7 linked regions of the Rattus norvegicus genome follow. The protein of the gene in region 3 interacts with the protein of the main gene of each other region in a pairwise test. Links are inferred from orthologs where the notes say so. Each region holds a gene or a part of one and is shown on either strand. Other genes may lie near its edges. The genes, in order: Mos, Pax6, Homer3, Usp2, Pkn1, Eif3d and Pom121.

Region 1 (3,798 bases), on a different chromosome or scaffold from region 3:
TGCTCCTCTGTAGCACTGTCGTGGGGTTAACAACCATCTCTGACATTTGCTAGGCAAAGCAGTTAATAAATGCATTTCCACTCAAAGGTGTTTGCAGCCTGTGATGGGGTTATCAGGGTATAATCCATCTGCAGTTTTAAATACCCACAAAAGGAAACAAGTAGAGGGCAGTGGGCACGCCATTAAAAGCCTCGAGTAGACAGTTGATGGGCGGAATGAGCTCAGATTTGTGCACACACACCAACTCACCCTTTCACTGATACCTTGCATTTTGGATGAATACTAGACTGGACTTTAGAAGTGAAGTGTTTATGAGGTTGTCTTAAAACTAAATATTACAAAATAATAAATCACATCGTAGTGTATTTTGTGTGATACCCAGAGGTTCAAGGTGACCTATCATATTACTCTTAAAGCTCCTCAAATCCACAGGTCATAGTCCTGAACTGTAATTTTATCTGTGTGATGGCTGAGCAAATTTGCAGAGTAATTTCAGTGCTCTTAAATTTTGTCACGCTCACTGTTTTCCTTTTTCAGTTGGGTTTGATATACATGTACAAAATGGGGGTTCTATTAAAATGTTCCACTGTTTACGTGTTTAACATTTTGTCCCTTAATATATTTGAAACTACTCAACTTTTATTCTCCCTAAATGTTTACTTTCTTAATTTATTACATAAAGCATCGAGGCTGTAACAATTATATACTCTGTGCAAGATGACACTAAACCATATCATCACCATTAAGCAGAAACCTGGAGTTTTGTGAACTTTGAGTTTTTTATATAAATGGCTCTCTGTTATCAACTTGCCTTCTCAAAATCTGTGATTCTGAGGTCAGAAGGACACAGCTGCCACATAAACACTGACCACTTATCACCATGTGCACAAAAACACGTTCCTGCGTGGCTAGAAAGTGTAACTCCTAACCACTTTGAGAAACCGTTTTTGAATGAACAGAGCAAGGTTGTTGTTCTTCCCTACTCCCCGGAAGATAGGGCATGAAAAGCAAACACATTATTATAAAACCAAAAACGACGAATGTGTGGTTTGACGGCCAGACCCTGAATTTATGTTCAGTATCTGATGGGGACCAGTGACTCTGGGCATGTCTGTCCTGGCTTTTCTCCTGTTTCTCCATGATTGCTGTTATTTTCAGCTATGGTCATCACAATCACCTTTGTCCCTTTCTTCCTCCTTCCAACTCTGCGTTAAATTCCAGGAACTTGTTTGCTGTGAAGTCTAGAATCTGTCTTGAAGCAAGCTTGCTCTGTGACCTAACTTGCCTGGGAAAGGAAGGGACGGTAGAAGTCAGTGTGTTGTTAAGGAGTCTTAACTTGCTGTTTAAATGAAATACAGTGTCAGATTGCTCCCTTCTGATGGACTTAGGAGGTACGAGTTCTGCCTTCTATCCGAGATTGTATTTGGATCAAAGACATTAAAATTACAGATGTTAATTCTTATGAAGGTTGCATCTAATAACCCTGCCAAGTAGTTCAACAAGTGTCTGCTGTTTGTACTGCAACTCTTGCAGCCAATAGCTGCTGGGACTGATTTAATGCAGCTGGAGACTAGCACGAACAATCATTATAGCCTGAAAAGTGTGCACCAAGTTCACTGTACTTTTGCTTTTCTCTTCAGTCTAAGGACCAATTAATGATCGTCAGAAGGTCCTTGAAATGTTTTTTCATTGTATTATGATTCAAGAATTAGTTGGAAGGAGAGGTGAGCTTTGGGGCAGGCCAGTACTGTTTAACAGGTGAGAGGTTGTTTTGCTAAGGATTCACTTTAGCTGTGAGAGAGCAATCGTTTCATCTGAGACTGCCAGGCTTCATCTGCACGCCCAACCCCACCTGATAAAAAAAAAAACAAAACAAAAAAACAAAAAACCAACCTTGCTGAGCAGCAAGACGTGAGAGCACAGTTGTGGCTGGTTTTGAGAATACAAGAAGAAGGGAAATGGGATGAAGGCGGAAACCTTCAGCCATGCTTCCAAACTTCCCTGGGTGTTCCTGGTCATTTCTCTCTAGCGTCTCTTGTGACTGTCCCATCTGAGGGTGTAATGCCTTCGCCTCTCATCCTGTGTCGCTACCTCCCTCGCGAGCTGTCGCCAACGGTGGACTCGAGGTCCTGCAGCAGCCCCTTGGTGGCCTCGAGGAAGGCGGGGAAGTTCCTGGGGGCCACTCCTCCTCGGGCCCCGCGGCTGTCACGCCGGCTGGCCTGGTGCTTCATAGACTGGGGACAGGTATGCCTGCTGCATAGGCTGGGTTCTGGAGGGTTTGGCTCGGTGTACAAAGCCACTTACCACGGTGTTCCTGTGGCCATCAAGCAAGTGAACAAGTGCACCAGGAACCTACGTGCATCCCAGCGGAGTTTCTGGGCTGAACTGAACATTGCAAGGCTGCACCACGACAACATAGTCCGGGTTGTGGCTGCCAGCACGCGCACGCCGGAAGGTTCCAACAGCCTTGGTACCATAATCATGGAGTTTGGGGGCAATGTGACTCTACACCAAGTCATCTACGGTGCCACCCGCTCCCCAGAGCCTCTCAGCTGCAGAGAGCAACTGAGTTTGGGAAAGTGCCTCAAGTATTCCCTAGATATTGTTAACGGCCTGCTTTTTCTCCACTCACAAAGCATTTTGCACTTGGACCTGAAGCCAGCGAACATTTTGATCAGTGAGAAGGACGTTTGTAAGATAAGTGACTTCGGCTGCTCCCAGAAGCTTCAGGATCTGCGGTGCCGGCAGGCGTCCCTTCACCACATCGGGGGCACGTACACGCACCAAGCTCCGGAGCTCCTGAAAGGAGAGATCGCCACGCCCAAAGCCGACATCTACTCTTTTGGCATCACCCTGTGGCAGATGACCACCAGGGAGGTGCCTTACTCCGGCGAGCCTCAGTACGTGCAGTACGCAGTGGTAGCCTACAATCTGCGCCCGTCACTGGCAGGGGCGGTGTTCACCGCCTCCCTGACTGGGAAGACGCTGCAGAACATCGTCCAGAGCTGCTGGGAGGCCCGCGCCCTGCAGAGGCCGGGTGCAGAACTGCTCCAGAAGGACCTGAAGGCTTTCCGAGGGGCACTGGGCTGACTCCATCGAGCCTGTGTGCAGATAAGCTTTTCGTTTCTGTTTATTTTTAAATAAGTAAGGATGGGCTTTTAGGGCATATTTTTAGAAAATAAAGTTACTACAAACTTCAGCCTGAAGTGCCTTTCCTAAGACTAACGAGGGTACAGATATCATGGGCACCACTCACGGTTGTTAAACAACCTGAGCCCTTTGTGTGTCACCTTTCTGGGTCTACTGTATCATTTCCGTAGTAAGGTTTGTTCCTGAATGAAAAGAGAAAGGGGGTGGGAGGAGGGGGCACTACTCCTAGGAATGAAGGAGAAAGTTTATTGCGGATACGAGGGAGACATAGGACATAGTCATAGACATGGACATCTGGCTGAGAAAGCCCAGAGCGGACATGTTCCTGAGCCATGTGAGAAGTAGTAGGAGGAGAAGGGGGAAGGAAGACAGAAGTAGGTACAGCAGCTGGAAGATTCAAAACGGGAGGGGGAGCTAAAATGGATTATATAAGAAAGGACAGCTGGGGAAAGGGCAGCCCAGTCCCTGGGTTGGAGAAGTTTAGGGCAGAGGGTGGGGCGTGCCAGTCTGGAGCACTCTGTAGTAGACAGGGACTGAGGGATGCAGGGAGAACCTGGCAGCAGGTCCACTTCGATATGTTAAATAGGTACCTCAGCCCTTCGTCCTGGGTTTGAAAACTAACAGTTACTGATAAAGAATATTTTTCCA
Region 2 (4,037 bases), on a different chromosome or scaffold from region 3:
ATTTCCAGAAATTAAGCTCAAACTTGACGTGCAGCTAGTTTTATTTTAAAGACAAATGTCAGAGAGGCTCATCATATTTCCCCCCTCTTCTATATTTGGAGCTTATTTATTGCTAAGAAGCACAGGCTCCTGGAGTCAATTTATCAGGAGGCTCCAAGGAGAAGAGAGGAGAAGAGAGGAGAGAAGAGAGGAGCTGAGAACCACATTTCCTGAGAGGGCTTCTGTCTAGACACGGGGCTGCAGGTTGGAGATGTCTGAGGAAGTGGAAAGAGGGGACTGGCTTTATTTTTATTCCTGTGGTTTCTGAGGAGGATAATTCATGGAGGCGCTCCTTCCCTCTCGCCCTAAGTCTCTACGACCAGACAATGGGAAGAGGTTGTGAGACAAGAGTGGAAGGAAGGACCGACCGGTGACACTGTGATGTGGTCTTTTTCTGTTTTGGGTTTCTGTTAATATTTGTATCCTTGGCTGAGGGGGAGGGTGGAGTTCAGCAGGGGAAGTAAAGCGAGTAGTGGCGGGTGGGAAGGCTCCTGGCTTCTGAGCACGACTTGGGGGCAGGCAGATCACTGTGTGAGTTGGGGTTCCAACCCTATTCCTGCTATGGAGGTATGGATTGGGAGTCACTAGCGACAAATTTATCTTTCTGGCTCTTTTACACACACACGTACACACACACACACACACACACACACACACACTCACACACACACTATGCTGTGTGCTGTGCACCTCTGCCAGAGTTAAATCACCATGCTAAGGTTTTATAACATTCTGCCTGGCCGTGCAGGGCTTGGGATTTGCAGCACTATTCTAACACTGCAGAGACTTCTGTGTGGACTCTGGTGACACTCAGAGGTGATGTAGGAAGGAGACTTTAAAAGCTTGATGTTTACCCCTTGTGGGTTCCAAGAAGGGCTGGGAGAGCTTATGAAGGTGGCAGTGGGCTCAGGGAACTACTGTGGTGATGGTGGTACTGGGTGGGTATATTCCTGGGTATTCTCCTGGGTCTGACAACAGTCCAATGGGTAGGTCAATTGTATTTGAAGCTGGGCTCCCCAGTACCCTGCATGGTTGGTGGTTCTGTTGTTGGGTGTTTTTGTTTTTGTTTTTTAAACCAGGACCTAATTGCTAAGGTTCACACAGGTTGGCAGGGAGCTGAGGTTGCATTGTGGTCTTTTCTTCCTTCCTTCCTTCCTTCCTTCCTTCCTTTTCTTCTTCTTCTTCTTCTTCTTCTTCTTCTTCTTCTTCTTCTTCTTCTTCTTCTTCTTCTTCTTCTTCTTCTTCTTCTTCTTTCTTCTCCTTCTCCTCCTCCTCCTCCTCTTCCTCTTCCTCCTCTTCCTCCTCCTTCTCCTCCTCTTCTGCTCTCCTCTCCTCCTCCTTTCCTCAGGTCACAGCGGAGTGAATCAGCTTGGTGGTGTCTTTGTCAACGGGCGGCCACTGCCGGACTCCACCCGGCAGAAGATCGTAGAGCTAGCTCACAGCGGGGCCCGGCCGTGCGACATTTCCCGAATTCTGCAGGTGATCCTCCCGTGGCTGCCCTACTTGCAGCTCCCTACCCACCCTACCCCGCCCCTCGTCCCGTGGTCCTCCACTCTAAGCGTCCTCTCTTCATTTCTTACTGTAAACACTACTAATTATGGACCAACCCACCCTCACCTAGTCCATCCCCACCAACTTCCCTACCTTCTAGCTTCCCCTCTCCTTCCGCCACGGTCCCTATCTCTTTCAACCTCAGTCAGTTATGTAAGATAATTCATCTGCGTAAGAAAAAGAATGTGAGTGAATTAAAAAACTACATCTTTTCATTTGGTAAGGACATTCATTGTGGTAACAGTGTATAAACTGTAATGAGCTGAGTTATATAAACTGGGATAATTTCATTCCCCTCTCCCCATCCCGTGCTAACCTCAGATTTTAGAGATTTGTCTGCATCCACCATGCTTGTGAAGAATGTATATGGATTTTCAGAGGCAAATGCTATCTATTCCTAATTCACATTTGCTCAGTTGGGCAAAATTTTAAGGGAAAAAAAATTCGATTATTTTCCCTTTGTTCTTTAAAATCTAATACTGCTTTAAGCAAGGTCAGCACAAAAAAATTAACCTGACTTAGTTTTGATGCATCTTCACACAGTGTTTAGAAAAATAGTTTTTTTGAAAGCTTTTTAAAAAATAATTCCAAGTGTTTGAAAGTATCATCATATTTGTAGTTTTAGGGCTACAGATGTAATTTTTAAGGAAAAAAGCTCTCTATAGTAAGTTCTCGTACCATTGAAGGTATATTTTTGTGTTATAGACCCATGCAGATGCAAAAGTCCAGGTGCTGGACAGTGAAAACGTAAGCTTGTCATTGTTTAATGCATACTTAAACAATTTTATTTTTGTCTTGAAATTATTAATAATGTGGTTTTTTTGTCCAATTCCCCAATGCAGGTGTCCAACGGATGTGTGAGTAAAATTCTGGGCAGGTATTACGAGACTGGCTCCATCAGACCCAGGGCAATCGGAGGCAGTAAGCCAAGAGTGGCGACTCCAGAAGTTGTAAGCAAAATAGCCCAGTATAAACGGGAGTGCCCGTCCATCTTTGCTTGGGAAATCCGAGACAGATTACTCTCCGAGGGGGTCTGTACCAACGACAATATACCCAGTGTAAGTTCATTGTGAACACTGTCTCCCACGCACCAAGCTCCTCACTCTCTCCCCATCTCTGGCACTTCTTTATCTCCTCCGGCTTTTCTCTCCCAATGCCTTATCATCTCTCTTCCTCTCTTCCCTGATTTGCATGGGTCTCCAGGGTACCTGGGGATATGGAGAGGTGGGCTTTACCTTTTTGACCATCTGGAAAATGGGAGTCAAGGGTGGGGAGTAGTTCACTTCATTTGTGTACCACAAACCAGGGGTCAAAGGAATTAGGGAAAGGCACTTGAATCAAGGAGGAAAATGAAAATGAAAATGGAAACCAGATTCTAAATTCCCCTCAAAGCACCTTCCTGAAGCTTCTTTCAGGCAACATGCATCCATTTCTGCTCTATGATAAAGTAAATCTCTAAATTAAGTTGAAATCTTTTATCATGGAGTCTTTCATCAAAACCAAGCAGCCCGGTGAGCTGTCGTTAGTGATGTTCTACAGAGGTGAAAGGCTGCTCCTTCCTTTTTATCCAATTTCATTTCCAGGAATAATATGATAGCTGTCATTCTTTCCACAATATAGCTAAAAATCCACGGACTGTCCCAGGATGGCTGGGAGCTTTTGCATATGTCATTCTTTAAAGCTTGGGAGAGCTGAGATGGGGACCTAAGATTGGGTGACTATGTCCTTAGGAGACACCACCATTTGGTTTGATTTGCAGGTGTCATCAATAAACAGAGTTCTTCGCAACCTGGCTAGCGAAAAGCAACAGATGGGCGCAGACGGCATGTATGATAAACTAAGGATGCTGAACGGACAGACCGGAAGCTGGGGCACCCGCCCTGGTTGGTATCCCGGGACGTCAGTACCAGGGCAACCCACGCAAGGTAAAACTCAAGCAGCTACCTTCCCGAAGTGGTTTCCTCCTCTGGGCTCCTACTGCTTAGGAGATGAAAGGGGTTACTATCCTTGAAGGCTTAGGTACCCCAAGTCACACTTTGTAATTGTTGTTTGTGACACCATCTTGTTGATGGGACTGTAAGGATTATGTGTGTTAAGGGTTGTATGAAGTAGTTAGGAGGTTGTGCGCATGTAAGGTTGAACCTAGTGGTGCCTTATTCAAATTTGACACTAAGATACAGTAGAGTACACTCGCAGTACAAGTGGGACAACTTAACACACACACACACACACACACACACACAGAGAGAGAGAGAGAGAGAGAGAGAGAGAGAGAGAGAGACTGTAAAGTAAACATAATTGTATTATTTGCTTTTGAAGTAATTGACAGTTATGTGACTTTGAGTAAGGTGGTAGGAGAGAGCAGACCACCACTACCCCGCCTCCAATGTGCATAGCCAGTTTGGGGGTTCCCTCCCCCAACTTTAACATTGTAACCCACTTACTCG
Region 3 (2,982 bases):
ACTCTACCGCGGAAGCTAAATCCCCAACCCCAACCTTGAATTCCTAATCTGCCTGTCTGTGCCTCGAGGGCGTAGACAGCAGCAGCAGGTATAGCTTAAACTCTGTGGGGTGGGAAATGCCTCTATGGTGAAGGGCTGCTTGTGCAGACGAGAGTTCAATTCCCAGCACCCACTTGGTGACTCATTACCTTCTGTAAGTCCTTGGAGGGGAATTTAAGGACTCTGGTTTCTGGGGGCACTTACACATATGTACACCCACACAATCAACAGTAATAAAAACAAGTTTTCTTTTAAAAGTTTTTATTATATTGAATTATTTCTGTGTTGTGCCTGTGTGTGTGCATGTGTGCTGTGTCAGTTCCCTCCTCCCATGGAGGCTCCAAGGACCAACCTTATTATCATTGGGCCTGCAGCAAGCTTACTGAGTCAGGATTGCACCAAACTCTGAGATCCTCCTGCCTCTGCCTCCTGACTGCTGGGATTGAAGGTGTGCGCCACTCATGCCTGACTTTATTTTATTTTATTTTATTTTTTTTCCGGAGCTGGGGACCGAACCCAGGGCCTTGTGCTTGCTAGGCAAGCGCTCTACCACTGAGCTAAATCCCCAACCTTCATTTACTTTTTAAAAACTGTTTTTATGTGCACGCGTGTTCGTGCCTGTGTGTGTGTGTGTGTGCGGATGCCCCCCAAGACCAGCAGGGGCCGTTGGATCCCTGCAGCTGGAGTCACAGGCAGGCGTGTGAGAGCTGCCTGCAGTGGTGTGTGACCTGAGGTGGCTTCTCTACATCAGCCTGCCCTCATGACCGCAGAGCGTGGCTCCGGTCCTCATGTGTTCTCTTTAATAAACAAAAGTTACGTTAAAGTGAAAAGAAGACACATCACTGTAACCACAGAACCAGCGTTCGTTAGTTGTCAGCTGAGGAATTTAGGAGAAGGGGCTCCCACTGGCTGTGGATGTTGTCCCTGTGTTATGACATACTGGCATGTTTGAAGGACAGATGGGCAGCTAGCCTCAGGCTGGCCAATCAGCCTGACAGGAACAGAGTCCCTTTCTGTGTGGCGTGGTTCAGAACTTTTTAATGTCACCTCTGGAATTCACCAAACCCCCTCCCTCTGTGTGTCATTCTGACACCCAAGAGGCTCACAGGGTTGACTCTTCCCAAAGGCCCCAGGGTGACAGGGCAGGTACAGGTTGGGGTGATGGGAGGTATGATGGGAGATGTGGGAAATGCTTTCTGACTATCCCCCTCCCTCACCCCCAGTTTGCTGAGAAGTTTCAGGAGGTCAAAGAAGCTGCCAGACTGGCTCGGGAGAAATCTCAAGATGGTGGAGAACTCACTAGTACTGCCCTGGCCATGGCCTCCCACCAGGTAGGTGTTCCTACACCCCATGTCTATAGTACCCGGTGACTACCACACCCCTGAGGCAGCTATATATGCTTCTGATCTCAGGGTCCATGCACTGTGCTAGTGTCCAAGGGTGGCTGGTGGCCTTACTGCATTTATGTCTGTGTGCATACACAAATGTGCATGTGCCTGGGTGGGACTCCAAGGACAACTCGTGGGAGTCAGTTTTCTTCTCAGCAGGGCATCAGGCTTGGTGACCGGCTCCTTTACCTATGAGCCCTCCTGCTGGCTCGTGCCTCAACTTACCTGGAGGAGAGCAGCTCCAAGTGTTTGGATTCCTCTTTCTGTAGGTTGTTTCCATTTGGCCCTGAGGAGTTAGTGAAGGCCCAGGCAGGTGAGGGACAGGATCCCCCATCCTGAGGCTCCAAGGAGCTATGGAGGGTGAGGAAGGAGTACTGGTCATCATGGTCAGTTCAGATGCCCTGACCTCAGTCCTTGCTTCAATCACCCTTACTTCCTACCGAGTCCTTGGCTGAAGCAAGTGCTCACTGTGACCCCGTCCTGGCTCCCATGCACAGGTTCCTCCAAGCCCCTTGGTCAGCACCAATGGTCCAGAAGAGAAGCTGTTCCGCAGCCAGAGCGCGGACGCCCCTGGCCCCACTGAGCGGGAGCGGTTGAAGAAGATGCTGTCAGAAGGGTGAGGGGTGTGGTTGGCCGAGCCTGCTTGAAGCCAGGTTGGGCCTAGCTGGGGCCTAAGGGGTGTCTTGTGTCCAGACTGAACTTTTGGCTGGCAAGGCATGGTGTTTCTAGTGTCAGGGTCTTAAATGTCATTAAGGGAGTGTAGCTGGTACCAGGGGTGTGCTAGGGCGGGGCATCCGCAGGACAGACTATTAGGATGGTGTTCTAGAGTCAGGGTCCTGGCAGGTATTAAGGGGCGTGGGCATTGGGATGGACGTGGGCATCGAGGTGAGACCCATGGTGGACTGGTCTGCTGCAGATGAAGCTGGGTAGGGGTTGGGGGTGTAAGAATCTGGCCTGCAGACCTGGGAGAGGAGGAAGCAATAGGCTCCTGCTTCATCTGGAAAGCAGGCTGCACTTTCCTCATTTGCACCTCCATCTCCTTTGACCGGGCCCCTGACCAATCTGGAGGGCAGGGATATGTTTTCAACATTTTTGGAGGTAGGGTCCCAATATGTAGCCCAGAACTCATTATAGTCTAGGCTGACATCATTCTTAAGCAGTTCCGCCTGTCTCTCAGCCTCTCATGAGCCACAACACCTGTCACAATTTCATGGTCCCACTCCTTGGCTTAGTGTTGCTTTGGCCCTGCTTAGTCCAGGATGCCCTGCACCAGATGCTGCTTGTCCTGACCATGCACACCCCCAGCCCAGTGTCTTCTCCACAGCTCCGTAGGGGAGGTCCAGTGGGAGGCTGAGTTCTTTGCACTTCAGGACAGCAACCAGAGGCTGGCAGGGGCCCTTCGAGAGGCCAACGCGGCCGCCACTCAGTGGAGGCAGCAGCTGGAGGTCCAGCGTGCAGAGGCTGAACACTTGCGGCAGCGGGTGAGGACAGCTGCACCCCCACACCCCTTCTGCCCTGGATCAGTCCCCAGAGGTCCCGTTTCTTGCTGTAAAAT
Region 4 (4,789 bases), on a different chromosome or scaffold from region 3:
ACTGCTTCTAGCTCTTCTGAGGAGAGAGAGCTCCTAGCTCTTAACTCCAGAGCTTTTGAGAATAGAGTTGAAGATCCTAGTAGGGCTTCCCAACCACAAAACAAGAGGCATGGAGAACTGGTGGAAGAGCTGGGGTGGGGGTGTCCCCTACTCTTTGATGCTGTAGATGCATGCTGCTCTGGAATGAGGATTGGAATGAGGGCGTCCTCTAAAGTGCATCACCAGGACCCAGTCTGAGTCAGTACCGTGTGCTGAGACAGGGTGGAGGCACCAGCCCCGGGGCCTTCCAGTCTCCAGGGAGAGCCATCAAGAAACAGAAGAAATCATCTTGGGAGCAGACAGGTGCACCGAGGCCAGAGAGGCCCTCCTGTCATGACCCTGGCCAGCCTGCCCTTGATACCCCGGAAGCCTGAGCCCTCCAACAGGTAGACTGGAACTGCCCCTCTGGAGCCAAGCATTCTCCTGGCAGCCCAGAGAAGCCACACTTGATTTATATATATATATATATATATATATATATATATATATATATATATATATATATATAATTTTTTTTTCTGAACAAAGGGGAAAGGAGTGTGGCCTGTCGCCTTGGGAAAGTGGCAAAATCTGTCTGACTTTTCCATTTGGGAGATGTGGACTAGTTCAGAAAACCACAGGGCTGGTGTCTGGTGTCGCAATCCCGGGGGGTAGCCCAAAGCCTTTATCTTCTATTAAGGGTTGTCTGCTACAACTGCCATTAGTAATGAATAGATGAATGGACATGGCCAATAAGCCTGGCGTTATTGAACCCTGGCTCTGTTTGAGGAAGCTTAAAACTATTGTTTTATCCTTATCCTTGTGAGATGTAATCACACCTTATTATTCATGGTTTTTGTTTATTTGTTCCTTTGAGTTTCTCCTTTGTGTGCATTTGTTTGGTTGGGTTTTTTTGGTTTCCTTTGGTTTGGTTTGGTTTGGTTTGGTTTGGTTTGGTTTTGAGACAGAGTTTCATTGTGTTGCCCTGGCTGTCTGCTTTGTAGACCAGGCTGTCCTTGAACTCAGAGATCTGCCTGCTTCTGTCTCCCAAGTGCTGGGGATAAAAGGCATGCGCCACCATACTAGCTCTATGATTCAGTTTTACAAACTACATAGCTAAGATTCAGAGACTTAAGTATCCTCAGAAGTTATCTTAGATCCATGAAGGGAAAGAATAAGAATTCAGGCCTAGACCTAGAAGTCCACTGTAAAAACAGTAGTGGACTGAAAACCAAGGGCTGGTCCCAGCCACTCTTCTCTGCCCGTGTCCAGAGAGGAGCTAGGTCCTCCCTATCTTTTTTTTCCTTTTCTTTTTTTTTTTTTTTTTTTTTTTTTTTTTCAGAGCTGGGGACCGAACCCAGGGCCTTGAGCTTGCTAGGCAAGCGCTCTACCACTGAGCTAAATCCCCAACCCCGGTCCTCCCTATCTTAAAACACCAGCAGCTGGGTTAGCAGTTTGGCCTCTTCGTGTTCGCTCAACTTGTGACGGACAGCACTAGAGAATCCACCTTCTCCATGTCTGGGACTCAGACTCATCCCCAGCCCTCTGCTCTGACCCCTGATCCTTCCTGTTATTTCCAAGTATTCCCAGGATTCTGGCTCATTCTCTGCTTCCACCCAGTCACTAGGCATTGGGTGGAAGGTGGGCTTGTCACTGCCCCTTTAATTCTCCTGGGGCCTGGAATGCAAGTGAGTTGCCATCTCGGCGAGGTCAGATAAGATACTATATATATCTAGCTAGCGTAACCTGAGCTCCGGATTACCCAGCCCCAGTCAGACTCCAGCTTCTAGACTCTACAACAGCCGTCTTTTCCCTGCGAGGAAAGAAGCCCCCAGATCCCATCCAGTGCCCCCGGACACAGGTCAGTAGCCCTCTCTTTGGTGTCAGAGCTTCAAGTATGGCTAAGTAAAGCCTCATTGAGTTCGGGAGAGCATTTGAGAGGCTGCCCGCTGGACTTGGTGAGCGTTGTAACCAAACCCAAATGCTCCTCAAGATATGGGGACAGAGGACAACTGAAGCCCTAAAGGTGGGGGGGTGAGACTCTCTCCAGGGCAGGGAGCACTAGGAGGGGTACTTGAGCAAAGGGGGTGAAGAAGAAAATCACAAGATACCTTCTGCTTCTAGGAAGCCTGTTTCTTTGCCTTTTCTTGGACTTGTAGAGATATCTATCCATCCCAACCCCAAATCGAAAAACACCCTGTGTGATCCCCCCCTAGGCCCACCCACCTCTCCACAAGCCAGGATACTTGTCCTGATCTCTCTCATCTCTGATCTCTTCACTTTACCTCTTCAACTCCCATCCCCTCCCCAAGTTCTGGGCACCTCCAAAGTGCAAGAGAAATGGAGACCTGCACAAATTCCTTTACAGGACCTCCCCTCCCCAAAGCGAGAGGATTCTGTGATAAAAGTAGGTGGGTTGCTGCAAGCATCTGATAGAGAGCAGTGCTAGCAACAGGTCAGAGGGTCAGGCTCAGGGCTCAAGAGGCCTGAGAGGAGCCGATGGTATAATGTAAATGTACAGCTCTTGCCATTTTCTCCACTCTGTCAGGGTGGACACTTGTGGCCAGAGAGTCTAGCAAGGGATCCAAGCAGCAAGGAGGAAGGGTCATAGGTGTGACAGGGTGTCTATCCCCCTCTTAGTCCTCAGTCAGCACATTCTGATACAATTAGCAGGCAGCTTTGGGAAGCTCTGAGGTCACTACTGCGGAGGTTCCCGAGCACCTAGTGAGACTGACTGGGTCTCCCTGCTGACCTGCCCTGAACATCTGGGTAGGAAGAAAGGGACTTAGTGGTGTTTTAGGTGTGTCCATGAAGTGTCTTGTAGGGTAGAGGACGTAAGTGAGGGCAGTGACAAAGCCACAGATGTGGCTAGGCCTATGCCTCAGAAAGATGAGCCCATCGGGACAGAAAGGGGCATGAATCTGCTAAGAGGTGGTGTATCACCAGTCCTCTGCCTCCAGGGCCAGGAGTGTCTGGGATTCTTGAGGCTTAAGTCCCTCCTCCAGCTGGGCAGGTTAGGGAGCCCTTCACGTGAGCTACAGGAAATGACAGTGACTGATGACAGTGACTTGATGCCAGGTGGTTGGTTGCCTCAAGGGAACAGGGTTCGTTTCAACCCCTGACTCACCTAGTGTGGGTACTTTGGGGAGTGGGCTAAACTGCAGCCGTGGGAAGGAGGCTCAGGGATATGTCTGCCACCAAGCTGGGGCCCAGAAGCCTGTGCTGGGGTAGATGCCAGTACCAGGGGACACACAGGGCTTGGCAGAGAGGATGAAATAGAGGCCTCGATCACCATCTCTCCCTCGATCAGTATTGTGCTGCAGCTCAGGTTACACCAGGCTTCATTTTCATTCACTTACAGTGGAAAATCCAGGGGCTGCTCCCGCAAGCAGCCTTCTCTCCTAGCGGGATAAATAGGCGTGGGCATCCTGGAGGGGTCCTCCTTTGACTTCACAGGCCCATGGCCCTGCTTTCAGGACAGGGGATGGATGGCTTCAGGGTAGCTGCAGTGAACAGAGCTCAGTTCCCACCCAGCAGAGACAACTGCAGCAGCCTGACAGCGGGAGAGGGTCCACATGACTTGCAGAAAGAACTGATTCGGGTTGGGGATTTGGCTCAGTGGTAGAGCGCTTGCCTAGCAAGCACAAGGCCCTGGGTTCAGTCCCCAGCTCCGGAAAAAAAAAAAAAAAAAAAAAAAAAGAACTGTTTCCTTACCCACAAATAGACGCATTGATAGCATGACCGCTTAAAGCTGCCGGGGGAACTGAGTTAGTGTGCTAGAGCCCTAGTCGGTGCATCTTTAAATGTTAAGATCTGAAATATCGGGGGCTGGGGATTTAGCTCAGTGGTAGAGCGCTTACCTAGGAAGCGCAAGGCCCTGGGTTCGGTCCCCAGCTCCGAAAAAAAGAACCCAAAAAAAAAAAAAAAAGATCTGAAATATGGACAATAAAACTTTACTTAAGTTTCACTCTTAGGGGCTCATACTTAACAATCCCAGCTCTTGGGATATGAGACAAGACAGAGACTTTGAGGTCAGCCTAGACTCGTCCAAAAAAACAAAAACAAAAGCAAAACAAGGCACTATTTAAATTTCTTGTACATTTAAAAATACGAATTTTTTTTCGTTTTCATTTAACGCAAACAATATAGCCTTTGCAATTATGTTTCTTAAACCTGAGAATGTATGCATCTAAAAAAGTTCAAGCTTTCGTCTGCCTTGAGATTTTCAGGACCTCTACACTTAAGGACACTGCCAGGAAGGCTAGGGAGGACCAAGTACATACAGGATGAGGCTATCTGGCAGACAAAGTCAAAAGCTGCATTCAAGGTCCTCAGTGAGTTCTATGCCTGGTCTGTAGGTGTGTGGGACCAGTTGGCTGGGAGCCTTAGCTGCATGGCTCCGTTGTCCCAAGAGGAAGCCAAGTGCATCTGTGCAAAATGATGCCACCATGCCAGTTTCTGTGGGGAAACTTTGCAAAGCGATGGAGACTCTCAGAGAGAAGGGAGACATCAAAATCTCTGTTAAAAAAAAAAAAAAAAAAGGCAAGAGTAGGAACTACCACCACCACCGCCACCGTTGTCCAAGGTGGCAGGCCCCTGGGGAGGTGCAGCCAGCAGCCACATGCCTGAACTTGCCAGTTCTGGAAAAACAATGAGAGAAGCCAGGCAGCAGGGGCCCCACACTGGACAGGGAGGAGTGTGGGGAATCCCAGCCAATAGGCTGGCCTCCCACTGCCCCATGAAAGAGCCATTCAGTCCCAGGCGTTCCTGT
Region 5 (4,768 bases), on a different chromosome or scaffold from region 3:
AGAACCTGGCAGGCAGGGCCCCAGGCAAGGCTTTCTCCCTGCCAAGTCCGTGCCCTCCTCATCTGTAAGATGGGTGGGTTCCTTGCCTATTATGCAAGGGACTATGAACATCATGGCTTGATTATGAAAGCAAGGGGCGTCTCTCTTTTATCAATCGGCAAAAAGGAAGTTGGATGTCTGGTGTGGCAAGTTATTTTATTCCCTCCACAAACCTTTGAGGTAGAATGCGGATGTCAACTTGTTGAAGCCGTGAATGAACACAGATGTGGAGAGAGCAGGGGCAGCAGATGACAGAGGGGCTCCTCCTGGAAATGTCTAGACTTAGGCCCTGTTGGTCTGTGGTTTGGGGAAGAGAATGTAAGGAGGAGGAGGAGGCTGAGGGACAAGGAAGAGGCTTCTACTGTAATCCTGATAGTTCAGGGATGGTGTGCTGGCCCTGTTCAGGGCTTAGGGAAGGTGAACCACCCCACCCCCTAATGATAGAGTGCAGAAGAAAAGTGGTCTTGTAAGTTACTCACTGACCACCACACATTTGCCTTGGATGTGCGTGTATATGCACGTGAACACACACAATAAATAGTGTAAAGATTAAAACAGGAATGGAAGAGATGGCTGGGTATTTAGAGTATACTGCTCTTGTAGAAAACCAAGTCTGGCTTTATAACTTCATTTTAGGGGATCCCATGTCCTTTTCTGACGTCCAGAGGATCCCCACACATGTTTCATAACTCCCACAAAGAAACACATATATACACATGTGAGAAATCAAATATGAGTCTTTCCTAGCAAATAGTATACAACTTGTGTTTTGGACAGTTGTTAAAAAAATCGTTCTCGGGGGCTGGGGATTTAGCTCAGTGGTAGAGCGCTTACCTAGGAAGCGCAAGGCCCTGGGTTCGGTCCCCAGCTCCAAAAAAAAGAACAAAAAAAAAAAAAAAAATCGTTCTCTCCCCTACCTTGTAGGACTTTTAAGGAGATGTTTTAATTCTCCCCGCATCACAAAGGCCACCCTACTCCATTCTAGAAAATTGATTGCTTAGAGCAGTGACCCCTTTCCTCCTCAATTTCCTCTGCGCCAAATTTTTTTCAGACTAGCCAATTGAATAAGAGTGCGAGGTCACCTGAGTTAGAATAGAAACCAAATGCACTTCCTGTCTTCTCTTAGCTTTTCCGCAGCACACTGTTTTGATGAAGAGTAAAGTTTGCCTTGTTCGGACATTTCATTTTGAAGGGTGGCTTCTTCCTTTGCCATCCCGGAACTTATTTCTAACACACATGAATCAAAATAGAGTCTTTAAAACAATAAGCTAAAAGTGACAGCCACTAGCGTTTATTGCTCACTTGGGGGTCTGTACACTTGCCCTACTCTTCCTCATTAAGTTTTACAGCCATCCTTGTCCTAAGAGGTACGGTGGTCCCCCAAGGCCCAGGACACAGGCATTTGAGTTGAAGTCAGGCTCTCCCTGTGCTTGCCTACGGGTAAATGGGAGGATGGATGCCTCTATGCAGCTAGGCGGTGTGTGTAGGGAGGTGGATCGTGACTTTTGCTTTCAGAGGGGTCCGAGGTGGGGGACAAGGTTCGTGAGACTCGCGGCCGCTCAGGCCTGTTCAGAGTCCCCCTACGCTATGAGGAGCGCTTGCCACGCAGCACAGCGAACAGAGATCCCACTCCCCGCTGCAAGCCCCGGGGGCCGCCGGGAGCCCCGCCCCCGCCCCCGCCCCGCCTCCTCCCCAGGCGCGGACCTCGGCGCTCACGTGACCCATCCTGCAGCCGCTGGGGCCCGAGGGCGCAGCTCGGCGGAGGCCTGGCCAGGCCGGGCCGAGCGCAGCAGGCCGGATCGCGCAGCGCGCCAGGGAAGGTCTGGGCTCCGCGCTTCCCGCCCCACACGCCGACGCGCTCGCAAGCCCTCCCTCGGCGCTGGGACCCCTGGCGGACATGGCCGGCGACGCCGTGCAGGTAGGCTACCCGCGGAGCGGCCGGACGGCGCGGAGGACCCCAGGCACGGGTAGAATCCGAGACGAGGTCCCCATCCGGAGCCCGCGCAGGCCCTTGTAGCAGGTGGAGGCGCCGACCTGGTTGGAGGAAGGGGTGCTGTTCGGGATTCTACCACTGCATCCCCTCTTCCGGCCCTCCCCGAGAGTCAGCGGGTGCAGCGGGGTCCCCACTTCGGTGTCCGAGGCCAGCTGCGGGTCCCGGTGCCTCTCGTCCCCACGCCCTACTCTGGGTCCTCAGCGTTCGGTTTCTGGCAGGTGCCGCTTCACCTGGAGCAGGTGCCTGGCACCCTGCCGCGGACCGGAGGAGTGCCCGGCCCGATCCCCTCCCCCGCACAACAAAGCCCGGGCCACCTCCGCCTGCAGACGTCTTTACGATGGTCTTGACGCCACCCAGATGGGCACCTGTTGGAGGAAGTATCTTAAGTCACTTCATTAGGCCTGAGGCAGGGTTCCTCCTTCCGCCCTGTTCCCCGTAACCACCCTTCAGGCTGACAGATGGAGCTGTAACCCAGGTGGGGCGTGTCCTGTCACACAGACAGGAAGGATTTTATGTCTGGAAGGTGACAGGGCTACTCCCCCCCCCCCCCCCGCAACAGACACCTGTGACTGGCATCTGCCAGCCACATAGCCTTCCCTGTGTGACCTGTTGGGTGTTACTGAACTCACCTTCCCAAGAGGAAGCAAGGTCGGGGTGACTGACTTCTCACCCTCTAATTCAGTGGCCCAAATCTGAGGTCTTTGTATCTTCGTGGCTCCATTAGTTCTTCACCATGCAGTCCATTGTCCTGTGTAACCAGTTCTCATCTCCTTCTACACCTGCCCCCATGTCTCCCCTGTACCCTCCTGTACCCCTCTTCCCCAGTCCTGCTGATGGCCTGCCGGCCTTGCCGAGGAGCTGGGCGTATCTGGTGCTGCCGATCTCACAAGGTCAGACCTCCAGGCTGATGCACCGGTGCCAGCTCCCCTTCAGACCCACTGAGGGCTGTGTAGGGCTCTCCCAGTACATGCATGTGCTTGGTGTGTCCCACATAGGACACATATGGAGGCTGCGATTCCCAGAATGAGGCAGGACCTACATCTTGTTCCTGTTCTGGTCTTCTCCCATATGTTCATTCCCGCTTGGACTTGCTGCCCTGTTCCACCAGCTCCATGTCTGTGTGTTCTGTGTCTGGCAAACGGATGTCCTGTCTAGATTCTGGAAACGCCCCAGGCATTGAAATCTCAGGAAATGGGGTTTTGGGTTCCTAGCCACTTTGCCAAGAGGGTTTCCCCCATGGTGACAGTTCTTGGTCTGGTGTCTCCAGATCTGTAATGGCAGGTGGAGAAGCTGACACTCTTAATTCCTCAAGACCAGGTCAGGCGTTTGCCCTGCTGCCCTCAAGTGACTCCTTGTCCCTGGGCAGAAGTGACTCACCCAGGGGAGGAGGACAAGGAGGCCCTGCCTCCCTCCCTGCATGCTTTTCATATTCTCAGGCCTTCTCTGCTGGAGGTGGGGCCTTCACCTTTCCTCTGCTCGAATGCTTGAGCTGGCCCTGCTCTTGGCTGTGTACCTGCTTTGCCTGCTGGGTTTGGGGCACTGGTGGGTGACAGTGGGTGGGGCCTGGTTATGTCAGAGTGTTGCTCAGTGAGGCCGGGTTTAAATACCAATGCTGCCTTCCCTGATGAGTTCTTGGGTCAACTGCCTTCGCCTTACTGAGTCTTGTATCTGTTTCGGAGGAGGCAATGGGTTAAGAATAGTGACGAGGGTCTGGCGGTGGTGGTGGCACACACCTTCGTGTGGGAGGCAGAGGCAGGCAGGTCTCTGAGTTTGAGGTCAGCCTGGTCTATAGAGTTCCAGGACATCCAGGGCAACTCAGAGAAACCCTTAGGGTGGGGGTGAGGGTGGAGATGATGGTTATGGGGAGAGAGGTGGGGCTGCAGCCAGTCCTGTGCTTCTGTGACATCTTTACTTTGAACATGGAGCTTGGCAGTCTAAGCTGGGAGCCCATGTCCCTCTCCAAGGCCCCAGCAATGGCCTTTGTGCCTGGATCATTTGGTGGTGGGGGGCTATCCTGTGCCCCTCAGGATGGTGACATTTGACAGGTGCCCCCTCTATACTTTGGTTGTAATGACAACAAGAATGACCTCAGACATTGACATGTGTTTCTAGAGGGGAGGAGAAGGCAACCCCAGCTTCACTGAGAGCACAGCTATGGCCTCTTTGAGCCTCAGTTTTTCCCTGTGGTGACTACTGCTCAGGTACACAGTGAGGAGATGACAGGGTCACAGGATCTGTGTTCTTGGCCTGCACCCTCATCTTCCCTCCAGAAGGGCTTACGAGCCTAGGAGAACATCACTTACTGTGATGGTGGCTCACTGCTGCGAGGTGTGGTGGACGTGGGCTTCTTCCCGGCTAGTGTCAATCTTGGACTTCTCTCTTGCTGCCTGTGGACCTGTGTCATGCCCCCTTCTCTAATTTTTTTTCTCTATTCTATACCCTGCTATTCTCTCCTCTGTCACAGATAGCTTGACCATGTTCAGTCTACTAATTTTTTTTTTAATTTCTTGTATATAAGTACACTGTAGCTATCTTCAGACACACCAGAGGAGAGCTTTGGATCCCAATACAGATGGTTGTGAGCCACCATGTGGTTGCTGGGAATTGAACTCAGGACCTCTGAAAGAGCAGTCAGTGCTCTTAACCGCTGAGCCATCTCTCCAGCCCTCTAATTTTTTTTTAATTGAGACAGGGACTCGCTGTGTAGCTCTGGCTGCTCTGGAATGCTAAGAGATC
Region 6 (3,427 bases), on a different chromosome or scaffold from region 3:
TGCATCTGATCTTGACCTCACCTTATCTTTGGAAGCTCTGGCCTCTTTCTTTACTCAGCCTCATTGCCACCTCATGATCTCTTTATCCAGTTCTGTCACTGCTGACCTCCAAAGACTAAGATCTGGACAGACACGCACACACAGTCCTCTTTGCGTTATCCATTTCCAGTGCTGCAGGACCTTAAGGTCAGGCGACGTCCTTTCTCCCTGGCTCTGTGTGTGGTGCCCTGAATTAAAGTGAAGGGCACGGGTAGGTGTTGCCTCTGTACGGAATAGAGAAAGGGTAGGCTGAGGTCCAGGCAGCCTGTGATGATTGCTTGCTATCAAGATACGGCTTAGGGAGCCATTGTCTTGGGGCCAGTGGCCTTCTAGACTTCTCCTGTGGTATCTGTGTTTCCACACACCCCTGCCCCACTCAAGCGTGGGGTTTGCCCTGGTGGACCCTTAGGGTAAATTCCCCATGCAGCTTATGTCCCAGAGTACTTTATACTTCAGTGTTCTCTTGCCTCACAAACACATGACAAGAAACTTAATGGCTTAAAACAGCACCCACAACTGGAGTTTAGTGAGCAGGCATTCAGCCTGTTATGGTTTCATTCTCTGTTGCGGTGTCGTGGGTGGCAGTGACCATGACTGTAGAATGGAGTGTGTTCCATTGGAAAGTCCACTGGGAGTTCATTCTGGATCTTGCAGAGGTCAGGTCCTTTCAGTGGTCTAGCTGAAGTCCCTGTTCCTTGCCAGCGTTCAGACCCCCCTTTGCTCTTGAGTCCTCGCCCTGACCCGGTGTTAATTATAAGCTCCTGCTCATTGCAGTCCAGGAACCCAGGCAGCTCCCATCTCATGCCGGTGCTTTTTCCTTATTTTCTTACTCCATTTGGGAGTCTGCTAAGGGAGTCTCTCTTCCTGAGCCTGTCATTTGGTATCTCATCTGCCTGACCACTATTCCATTCAGTTCTGTGTGTAATTGTCCCCAAGATGGTGTCAGAGCTCTTCAGTATCACGGTTCTCTCACAAATTTTAAGGGAATCAGAGTCGGTTAGATGCTGTTCTTGGAATGGTGGGGACTCCCTGCCTTATTACTTTGTCTGCCTTACGACCTTGGACTGCCCCACTCCCCACATCTGGAAGTCGGTATGCCTGTGAAGAAAGCATCAGGTGCTGGGCTCTTCCTGCCCAGTCATCACAGGCTGCCTGAGCCTCAGAGCTGTCCTTACCAGTATTCTTTATCCTGTACAGAGGCAACACCTACCTGTGCCCTTCTTGGCCCTACCTCAGGCTGGCCTACCTGCCTCTCAGTTCTGACCATCCTTCTCTGTGTTTACTGTGAAGCCCCTTTTTACCACACAGCACCCTTGCCACTGAGTTGTGCCGGGTCACCCATCACCATCTGGTTGAGGGGCTGCTGTACAAAGATGGGTGGTCACCACTGTACCTCTGACTCTGGCATACTCTTCCCTTCCTAGTGGTCCCGTGTCTTCTGTAGGAAACCCTGGGGTCCCGTGGGAGGTGCCACCCTCACCCAGTAACCAGCTTTCTTCTGCAGCATTGTAATGGCGTTGACTGGCGTCAGAAGCTGGACTCTCAGCGTGGGGCTGTCATCGCCACTGAGTTGAAGAACAACAGCTACAAGTTGGCGCGATGGACGTGCTGTGCTTTGCTGGCTGGCTCTGAGTACTTGAAGCTCGGGTGAGACTCCTGTGCAAATGCTGGGGCAGGCCTGGATCAAAGGCTGCTCGTCCCTCCTCTACTTTGGGAAAAGAGCAGACCATGCATTACCACGGTACTGACCCCAGGCTTTGCCGTCTCTCTGTATGGCCTAGTGTGACCACCCATCCTCCTCCCAAATAGGTATGTGTCCCGGTACCATGTAAAGGACTCCTCGCGCCACGTCATCCTGGGCACCCAGCAGTTTAAGCCCAATGAGTTTGCCAGCCAAATCAACCTGAGTGTGGAGAATGCCTGGGGCATCCTGCGCTGTGTCATTGATATCTGCATGAAGCTGGAGGAGGGCAAATACCTCATCCTCAAGGACCCCAACAAGCAGGTCATCCGAGTCTACAGCTTGCCTGATGGCACCTTCAGCTCTGAGGAGGACGAAGAGGATGAGGAGGAAGAGGAGGAAGAAGAAGAAGGTGGGCAGAGTGGGCCTCTAAGCCTGGGTGGTTTGAGGGCTGGTGAGGGAGCCAGGCTAGCTCTGTGGTCACCTTCACCTTGGCAACACATGAGAACTTCCTGGAACTTTTTGTGGGGTGGCAGTCAGATCAGAAAGAGGGCAAGGAGAACATTAAGAGAAGGCCTGGGCAGTTTCGAGAGGATCCAAGGCTTTATGGTCAGATAGACCACCTGAAAAGCCTCCCTGGTAGCTACAGAAAGTTGCAGAGGTTAGGAGGGCTCAGCAAAGAGGAGGCCTTCAGCACTCAGGTTTCTTCAAGGTCCAGAAGGAAAGGGTGTGTGGCATCATGGGGTGAAGCTCATTTCTCTTTGTTGTTTTTCTTTCAGAGGAAGAAACTTAAGTGAGTTGGCCTGGTGCCTGCGTGTGTTAGCACCTAGCTGTGCCTGGGCAGCGTGTGTCCAGCTCCTGTTCTCTAGCAGAAGAAATAAAATTTAAGTCCTTTTGGTTTCTTCCTTTGTCCTGTGCTCCCATTGTGATCTGCAGCCCTTCCTTCTCCCAGCAGCCCCTGGGAAAGGGAGACCAGAGCCAGAAGTTTGTGTGGCCTGGCTGCTGCTGAGTAGTTCCATCTCAGCTGGGGCACTGAGAACTGCATTCCCTGTGGAGGGTGAAGGCCTTGAGTGTTAGTTTCAGAACCCATGACAGGCCCTTTCATGCAATTTGAGATGCATTATGGGGGAAGAGCCCTCACAAAAAGTCCTGTTACCCAGTGGTTCTCAACCTGTGGGTTGTGACCCCTTGGGGGTTGAATAACCTTTTCACAGAGGTTGCCTAGGACCATCAGAAAACATGTTGTGATTTGTTAGCAATAATAATCACAGTTACAAAGTAGCAATGAAAATAATTTCATGGTTGGGGTCACAATATGAGAAACTATTAAAGTGTGCTGGTATTAGGAAGTTTGAACTACGATGTCTTCCTAGCATGACCTAGGTGTGCCTTAGAAGTTATCACCAAGGGCAGGGCATGGCTGGGAGGTGGTCCTTGAGGAAGACCTCTTCAGTCTGCTGGGTGGTGATTTTAGTTACTTACAAGGTTGACCTGGGATGGGAAAGCCTCAAACCAGTCTGCACAAAGCAATGTGTCACATAGCGTGTTTAAAGGCTCTGTGGACTGCGTGCTTTTTTGAACACTAGTAATTGTCCCACCCAGGTAATTGCCCAAGTATTCTTGCCTGCCCCTCAGGACTGGGGTATGAGTGGGAGCAGAGCTGTGTAGGTAAGCATCAGGGTTGGAACCTTCCTAAAGAGGTAGGTT
Region 7 (4,774 bases), on a different chromosome or scaffold from region 3:
AAGAAAATCGGTCCTGAGCAGGACCACCCTGTTTCTTGATTATAACCAGTGCTCGTTGTCATTAATCAGTTCAGCTAGTATTTATTAACAATGTGCATTGTCTCTGAACTCTAACCCCTGCCTCTCCTGCTTCTCTATCTAGCCATCCCTCCATCTTAGCCTTCCCTCCCCCTGTCTAGTCTTATCTTGCTCTTGATTGTGGAGGAACAGCTTTCAATGTATAATCTTAAAAAAAAAAAAAAAAAAAAGGAAGAAAAGGGAAAGAAAAAAACACAGACTAGGAAGATTGGTACAGCACTTGCTGAGCAAGCTTACCTGGGCACAGCAGGGAGTCCCTGTAATCCCAAACACAGAGGTAGACACAAAGATTTTTTTGTTTTTGTTTTCTGACCAGCCAGCCTAGCCAGTTAATGATATCTGGGTTCAGTGAGAGACCCTGTGTCAAAAAAAATAAGGTCGAGTGTAATTGAGAAAGACACTGCTGTTGATTTTCAACCTCCATGCATGCATACACACGTACATACACAAAAGAGTAAGTCAGATGTGGTGGCGTGCAAATGTAATCCCAGCATATATTCAGGCAAAACACACATTTAAAAAATTATTTATTGGGGTTGGGGATTTAGCTCAGTGGTAGAGTGCTTGCCTAGCAAGCACAAGGCCCTGGGTTCGGTCCTCAGCTCTGGGGGGAAAAAATTATTTATTGGGGCTGGAGAGATGGCTCAGCGGTTAAGAGCGCTGACTGCTCTTCCAGAGGTCCTGAGTTCGATTCCCAGCAACCACATGGTGGCTCACAACCACCTGTAATGGAATCTGATGTCCTCTTCTTGTGTCTGTAGACAGCTACAGTGTGCTCACATACATAAATATTTTAAAAAATTATTTTGACAGGGTCTCACTGTGTAGTTCCAGCTGGCCTGGAACTGACCTCTGGGATTAACAGTGAGCTTCCACGTAGGGTTTGATTGATCGGGTTTTGTTTTGAGGCAGAGAGGAGTCTCACTAAGTAGCCCATGTTGACTTAGAACTGGGGATCCTCCTGCCTTCACCTTCCAAATGCCGGGATTACATTAATGTGCCACCAATCTTGGCTCTGTGCCTTGATTTCTACCACCACTCTTCCGCAGTCCGGGAGCGTCAGGGAAACCTCAAGCGTCCAAACCGGCTGTCAGACGGGCTATATTTTTTTTTCTTTCTTATTTTTTAGTTTTTGCTGTTTTGAGACAGGATTTATGTCTCTATGCCGCTCTGTAATTCTCTTTGTGAACCAGGCTGGGCTCAAACTCACAGAAATCCTCCTGCCTCTGCCCCCTGCGTTCTGAGAGTAAAAGCCTGCACCAATACGCCTATCCAAACTGTATTTTTCAAAATACGCTCTCGCGCCTCGCTCCGCACGCTGCGGCAGTTCCCCTTTTCACCCGGCGCGCCGCGTCGAGGACAGTGACGTAGGCGGCGGCGCGCGGCGCGGTGTATCCTGGGATATTTAAGTCCGCTCCGCGGCGCGGAGCCGCGATGTCTCCGGCGGCTGCGGCGGCTGACGGAGGCGAGCGGCGGCGGCCTCCGTTGGGCGTACGGGAAGGCCGGGGCCGGACCCGCGGCTGCGGAGGACCAGCGGGTGCCGCGGCACTGGGCCTAGCGCTGCTCGGCCTCGCGCTCTACCTAGTGCCCGCGGCGGCCGCGCTGGCCTGGCTGGCCGTGGGGGCGAGCGCGGCCTGGTGGGGCCTGAGCCGAGAACCCCGCGGCCCGAGGGGCCTGTCGTCGTTCGTGCGCGAGTCGCGCCGTCACCCGCGGCCCGCGCTCACCGCTTCACCGCTTCCAGCCAAGTCGCCAGTCAACGGTAGCCTCTGCGAACCCCGCAGCCCGCTTGGAGGCCCCGACCCCGCTGAACTCTTACTCATGGGCAGCTACCTGGGCAAGCCAGGCCCGCCGGAGCCTGCCCTCCCGCAGGACCCTAGAGACAGGCCAGGGCGCCGCCCACCCTCACGGTCCCCGCCGTCGTCTTCGACGGCCCAGCGAGTCCACCACGTCTACCCCGCGCTCCCCACCCCACTTTTGCGACCTTCTCGGAGGCCGCCCCACCGGTAAGCCCTGGCTGTCTTCCCAGGGTGGGTCTCTGCGGCAGAGGATTAAACCTAGAATCTGATTTAACTTACCTTCCCTTTTTCTTTACTTTGCCTTTTCCCTTTCTTTTTATCCTTACTCCCTTTCTCTCTTTTTCCATTACTCTCCTTTCTCTTTACTCTTTTTTTTTTTTTCCTCCTTTTTCTTTTTTAAGGTAGGGTGTTTGGTGGCATAGGCTGACTGGTCACAAACCCTTTCTTTGGCTGAGTCTGGCCTTGAACTCATCCTCCTGCCTCCATCTTCTGGGTGAGTTCACGGACAGGATTACAGGTTTGCACCAGGTTGTATGCTGTGCTGGGATCGAATCATAGCTGGCAGGCAAGCACTCAACCCATTCCCTAGTCTTTGGGGTTTTTTTGTTGTTGTTGTTTTGTTTTGTTTTTGAGACAGGATCTCATATAGCTTGATCTGTCCCTTGAACTCACTCTGTAGGTGAGGGTGACTTTGGACTGCTGACCCTACTGCCTCCACCTACTAAGTGCTGGGATTACAGGTGTGCTCCACTACACTCAGCCTAGATTCTGGATAAAAGCATTTTTATTTTTAAATTGCATATGCATGTAGAGATCAGAGGACAGCTTGCTGGAGTCATTTTTCTCCTTCCATGTGAGTTTGAGATTGGTCTCAGGTCATTAGACTTGGCAGCCAGCTTAAGTCATTTCACTGTCCTTGATAAGTGTGCCTAGTTGAGTTGATGAATACCCGTTAATGTTTGGTTTTTGCTGTGTATTGTATATTTCAAACACAAGTTAGGGGGAGGAAAAAAAACTATTCCTACACACACCAACTGCATGTGCTTTTCTTCCAAAGTACCTGTGTGGGCAAGGTTTTCAGTTTCCCTCTTTTTTTTTTTTTTTTTTTTTTTTATGTTAATCGTTGATGTTCTTGTTTTTTGTTTTTGTTTTTTTTATTAACTTGAGTATTTTTCAGTTTCCCTCTTAATTTGGTGAAGTCCACAGTAGAGACAACCATTAAGCAACTGATACTTCCTGCTTTCGGATGAAATGGGAGAAATTTGCCATAAAAATGCTACGTTCCCTGTTGCTTGAGAAAAAGGAAAGTTTAAGCTGTTAGTGTCACCGAGCGCTTTGTCTAGCATGCACACACCCCTGGGTGTCATTACCACCACTGTCAAAAAATAAGATAAAAATGGAAAGAGAGAGGTTGATACTCTCTGGAAAAGAAGTGTTATTGCCTCTTGTTTCTGCAGTCAGTTGAGTTTGGTATTAAGACTGTGGCTCCAGCACGTGTCTCTGTCCTGTTCTCCACAGAGATTGTGGGCCTTTATCCAGTCGGTTTGTTATAACACCCCGAAGACGATATCCCATTCAGCAAGCCCAGTATTCCTTGCTGGGGGCACTTCCAACCGTATGCTGGAATGGTGGCCATAAGAAAGCCGTGCTATCTGCACGGAACTCGAGGATGGTGTGCAGCCCAGTGACAGTGAGGATTGCCCCTCCAGATAGCAAGCTATTTCGATCACCAATGTGAGTACCTGTGTGTGTGTACAAACTTGTGTGTGCACGTAAGCACCTGTACCTGTGTGGAGACCAGAAGAAGGCCTTAGGACTCTTTCATTGCCCTCAGATTTTTCCTTTGAAGCCAGAGTTTCTCTGAACCTGAGGCTCCTGTTTCAGTCTAGCTGTTCCAGCCCCAGTTGTCCTTTTTCCTTTGGAGCTGCGTTTATGGGGTATGCAGGATCCCTGGATGGTTGTATGGGTCCTGGATCTGATCTTCAGTCCTTGTGATTGTGCAACTCTGTCACTCTCCAATGTGCACGTACTCACAAGCACACGTATGCGCATATTCACAGACCAGGCTGGCCTGAAATTGAGTAGCTCAAGCTGTCCCAAAACTCAGGATGATCCTCCTGCCTCTTACTGTTGGGATTAAAGGCACAAGCCACCATTCCTGACTTAGTAGTCATGGTAGTCAAGGCCTTGCTTGTTGGTTAGCTTCTGGATTCTGTTCTGTACATGCATGGTAGTTAAAATAGCCTGTCTCCAGAATCTTCTCTCTCATTATAGGCCGGAGCAGATACTCAGCACCACACTGTCTTCACCATCAAGTAATGCCCCAGACCCTTGTGCAAAGGAGACGGTGCTGAATGCCCTCAAGGAAAAGAAGAAAAGGACAGTGGCAGAGGAAGACCAGCTGCATCTTGATGGCCAGGAAAACAAGAGAAGGTAATAGGCGGTCTCAGTAGAGTGTAACTCCTTCCCAGGGGAATCAGAGTAAGTGTTGGTGACTACCATGAAGATATAAGGGGCCCATCTCCAGTATGAACCATGGAGAAGCTTGGTAACAAGGGCTTTAGTAGTGCTCACCTCTTAGGGCACGGGTTAGGTAAGTGTCGTCCTTATACCCTTAAGCCTGCATTGGCATTGGCCCTCACTCACCACCCACCCACTCAACACACCCTTCCCTCCCAGAGTTCTGAGGCAGATCCATGTTAGACTCTACAACTCCTAGGCCTTCTACCTCTAAAATGGTGGCCTGTGTGACCAGCTATCTGCCTTGGATGCTAATCTGTTGAATTTTATTTTCAAAAGTAAATGCTCAAAGGCTCCCCCACCCAGTTGTGTTCTGTTTGTTTGGTTTTGTTGTTGTTGTTTTGGTTAAATACCAGTAGTGTTGTTGAATGGAAGGCATA

Evidence for each region.
Region 1: the proteins of Homer3 (region 3) and Mos interact in binary tests that used the Homo sapiens proteins (3 or more experiments, as listed by UniProt). The two-hybrid records come from large-scale screens. The link is inferred for Rattus norvegicus from reciprocal best matches to the Homo sapiens genes HOMER3 and MOS.
Region 2: the proteins of Homer3 (region 3) and Pax6 interact in binary tests that used the Homo sapiens proteins (3 or more experiments, as listed by UniProt). The link is inferred for Rattus norvegicus from reciprocal best matches to the Homo sapiens genes HOMER3 and PAX6.
Region 4: the proteins of Homer3 (region 3) and Usp2 interact in binary tests that used the Homo sapiens proteins (3 or more experiments, as listed by UniProt). The two-hybrid records come from large-scale screens. The link is inferred for Rattus norvegicus from reciprocal best matches to the Homo sapiens genes HOMER3 and USP2.
Region 5: the proteins of Homer3 (region 3) and Pkn1 interact in binary tests that used the Homo sapiens proteins (3 or more experiments, as listed by UniProt). The two-hybrid records come from large-scale screens. The link is inferred for Rattus norvegicus from reciprocal best matches to the Homo sapiens genes HOMER3 and PKN1.
Region 6: the proteins of Homer3 (region 3) and Eif3d interact in binary tests that used the Homo sapiens proteins (3 or more experiments, as listed by UniProt). The two-hybrid records come from large-scale screens. The link is inferred for Rattus norvegicus from reciprocal best matches to the Homo sapiens genes HOMER3 and EIF3D.
Region 7: the proteins of Homer3 (region 3) and Pom121 interact in binary tests that used the Homo sapiens proteins (3 or more experiments, as listed by UniProt). The two-hybrid records come from large-scale screens. The link is inferred for Rattus norvegicus from reciprocal best matches to the Homo sapiens genes HOMER3 and POM121.

Annotation. Positions count from the first base shown.
Region 1 is NC_086023.1:21,656,950-21,660,747, reverse strand, and holds Mos (proto-oncogene serine/threonine-protein kinase mos), read left to right. Parts: upstream 1-1,891; 5' UTR 1,892-2,061; coding exon 2,062-3,090; 3' UTR 3,091-3,199; downstream 3,200-3,798.
Region 2 is NC_086021.1:112,597,017-112,601,053, forward strand, and holds part of Pax6 (paired box protein Pax-6), read left to right. Parts: intron 1-1,387; coding exon 1,388-1,518; intron 1,519-2,295; coding exon of another isoform or gene 2,296-2,337; intron 2,338-2,432; coding exon 2,433-2,648; intron 2,649-3,349; coding exon 3,350-3,515; intron 3,516-4,037. UniProt on the Homo sapiens protein: Transcription factor with important functions in the development of the eye, nose, central nervous system and pancreas. Required for the differentiation of pancreatic islet alpha cells.
Region 3 is NC_086034.1:19,169,005-19,171,986, reverse strand, and holds part of Homer3 (homer protein homolog 3), read left to right. Parts: intron 1-1,262; coding exon 1,263-1,370; intron 1,371-1,924; coding exon 1,925-2,043; intron 2,044-2,751; coding exon 2,752-2,908; intron 2,909-2,982. UniProt on the Homo sapiens protein: Postsynaptic density scaffolding protein. Binds and cross-links cytoplasmic regions of GRM1, GRM5, ITPR1, DNM3, RYR1, RYR2, SHANK1 and SHANK3.
Region 4 is NC_086026.1:53,309,075-53,313,863, forward strand, and holds the start of Usp2 (ubiquitin carboxyl-terminal hydrolase 2), read left to right. Parts: upstream 1-1,795; 5' UTR 1,796-1,879; exon of another isoform or gene 1,880-4,789. UniProt on the Homo sapiens protein: Hydrolase that deubiquitinates polyubiquitinated target proteins such as MDM2, MDM4 and CCND1. Isoform 1 and isoform 4 possess both ubiquitin-specific peptidase and isopeptidase activities.
Region 5 is NC_086037.1:41,345,093-41,349,860, forward strand, and holds the start of Pkn1 (serine/threonine-protein kinase N1), read left to right. Parts: upstream 1-1,762; 5' UTR 1,763-1,936; coding exon 1,937-1,957; exon of another isoform or gene 1,958-2,397; intron 2,398-2,661; exon of another isoform or gene 2,662-4,768. UniProt on the Homo sapiens protein: PKC-related serine/threonine-protein kinase involved in various processes such as regulation of the intermediate filaments of the actin cytoskeleton, cell migration, tumor cell invasion and transcription regulation.
Region 6 is NC_086025.1:111,419,546-111,422,972, reverse strand, and holds the end of Eif3d (eukaryotic translation initiation factor 3 subunit D), read left to right. Parts: intron 1-1,543; coding exon 1,544-1,686; intron 1,687-1,848; coding exon 1,849-2,132; intron 2,133-2,499; coding exon 2,500-2,513; 3' UTR 2,514-2,622; downstream 2,623-3,427. UniProt on the Homo sapiens protein: mRNA cap-binding component of the eukaryotic translation initiation factor 3 (eIF-3) complex, a complex required for several steps in the initiation of protein synthesis of a specialized repertoire of mRNAs.
Region 7 is NC_086030.1:26,912,006-26,916,779, forward strand, and holds the start of Pom121 (nuclear envelope pore membrane protein POM 121), read left to right. Parts: upstream 1-1,507; 5' UTR 1,508-1,512; coding exon 1,513-2,081; intron 2,082-3,392; coding exon 3,393-3,608; intron 3,609-4,148; coding exon 4,149-4,307; intron 4,308-4,774. UniProt on the Homo sapiens protein: Essential component of the nuclear pore complex (NPC). The repeat-containing domain may be involved in anchoring components of the pore complex to the pore membrane. When overexpressed in cells induces the formation of cytoplasmic annulate lamellae (AL).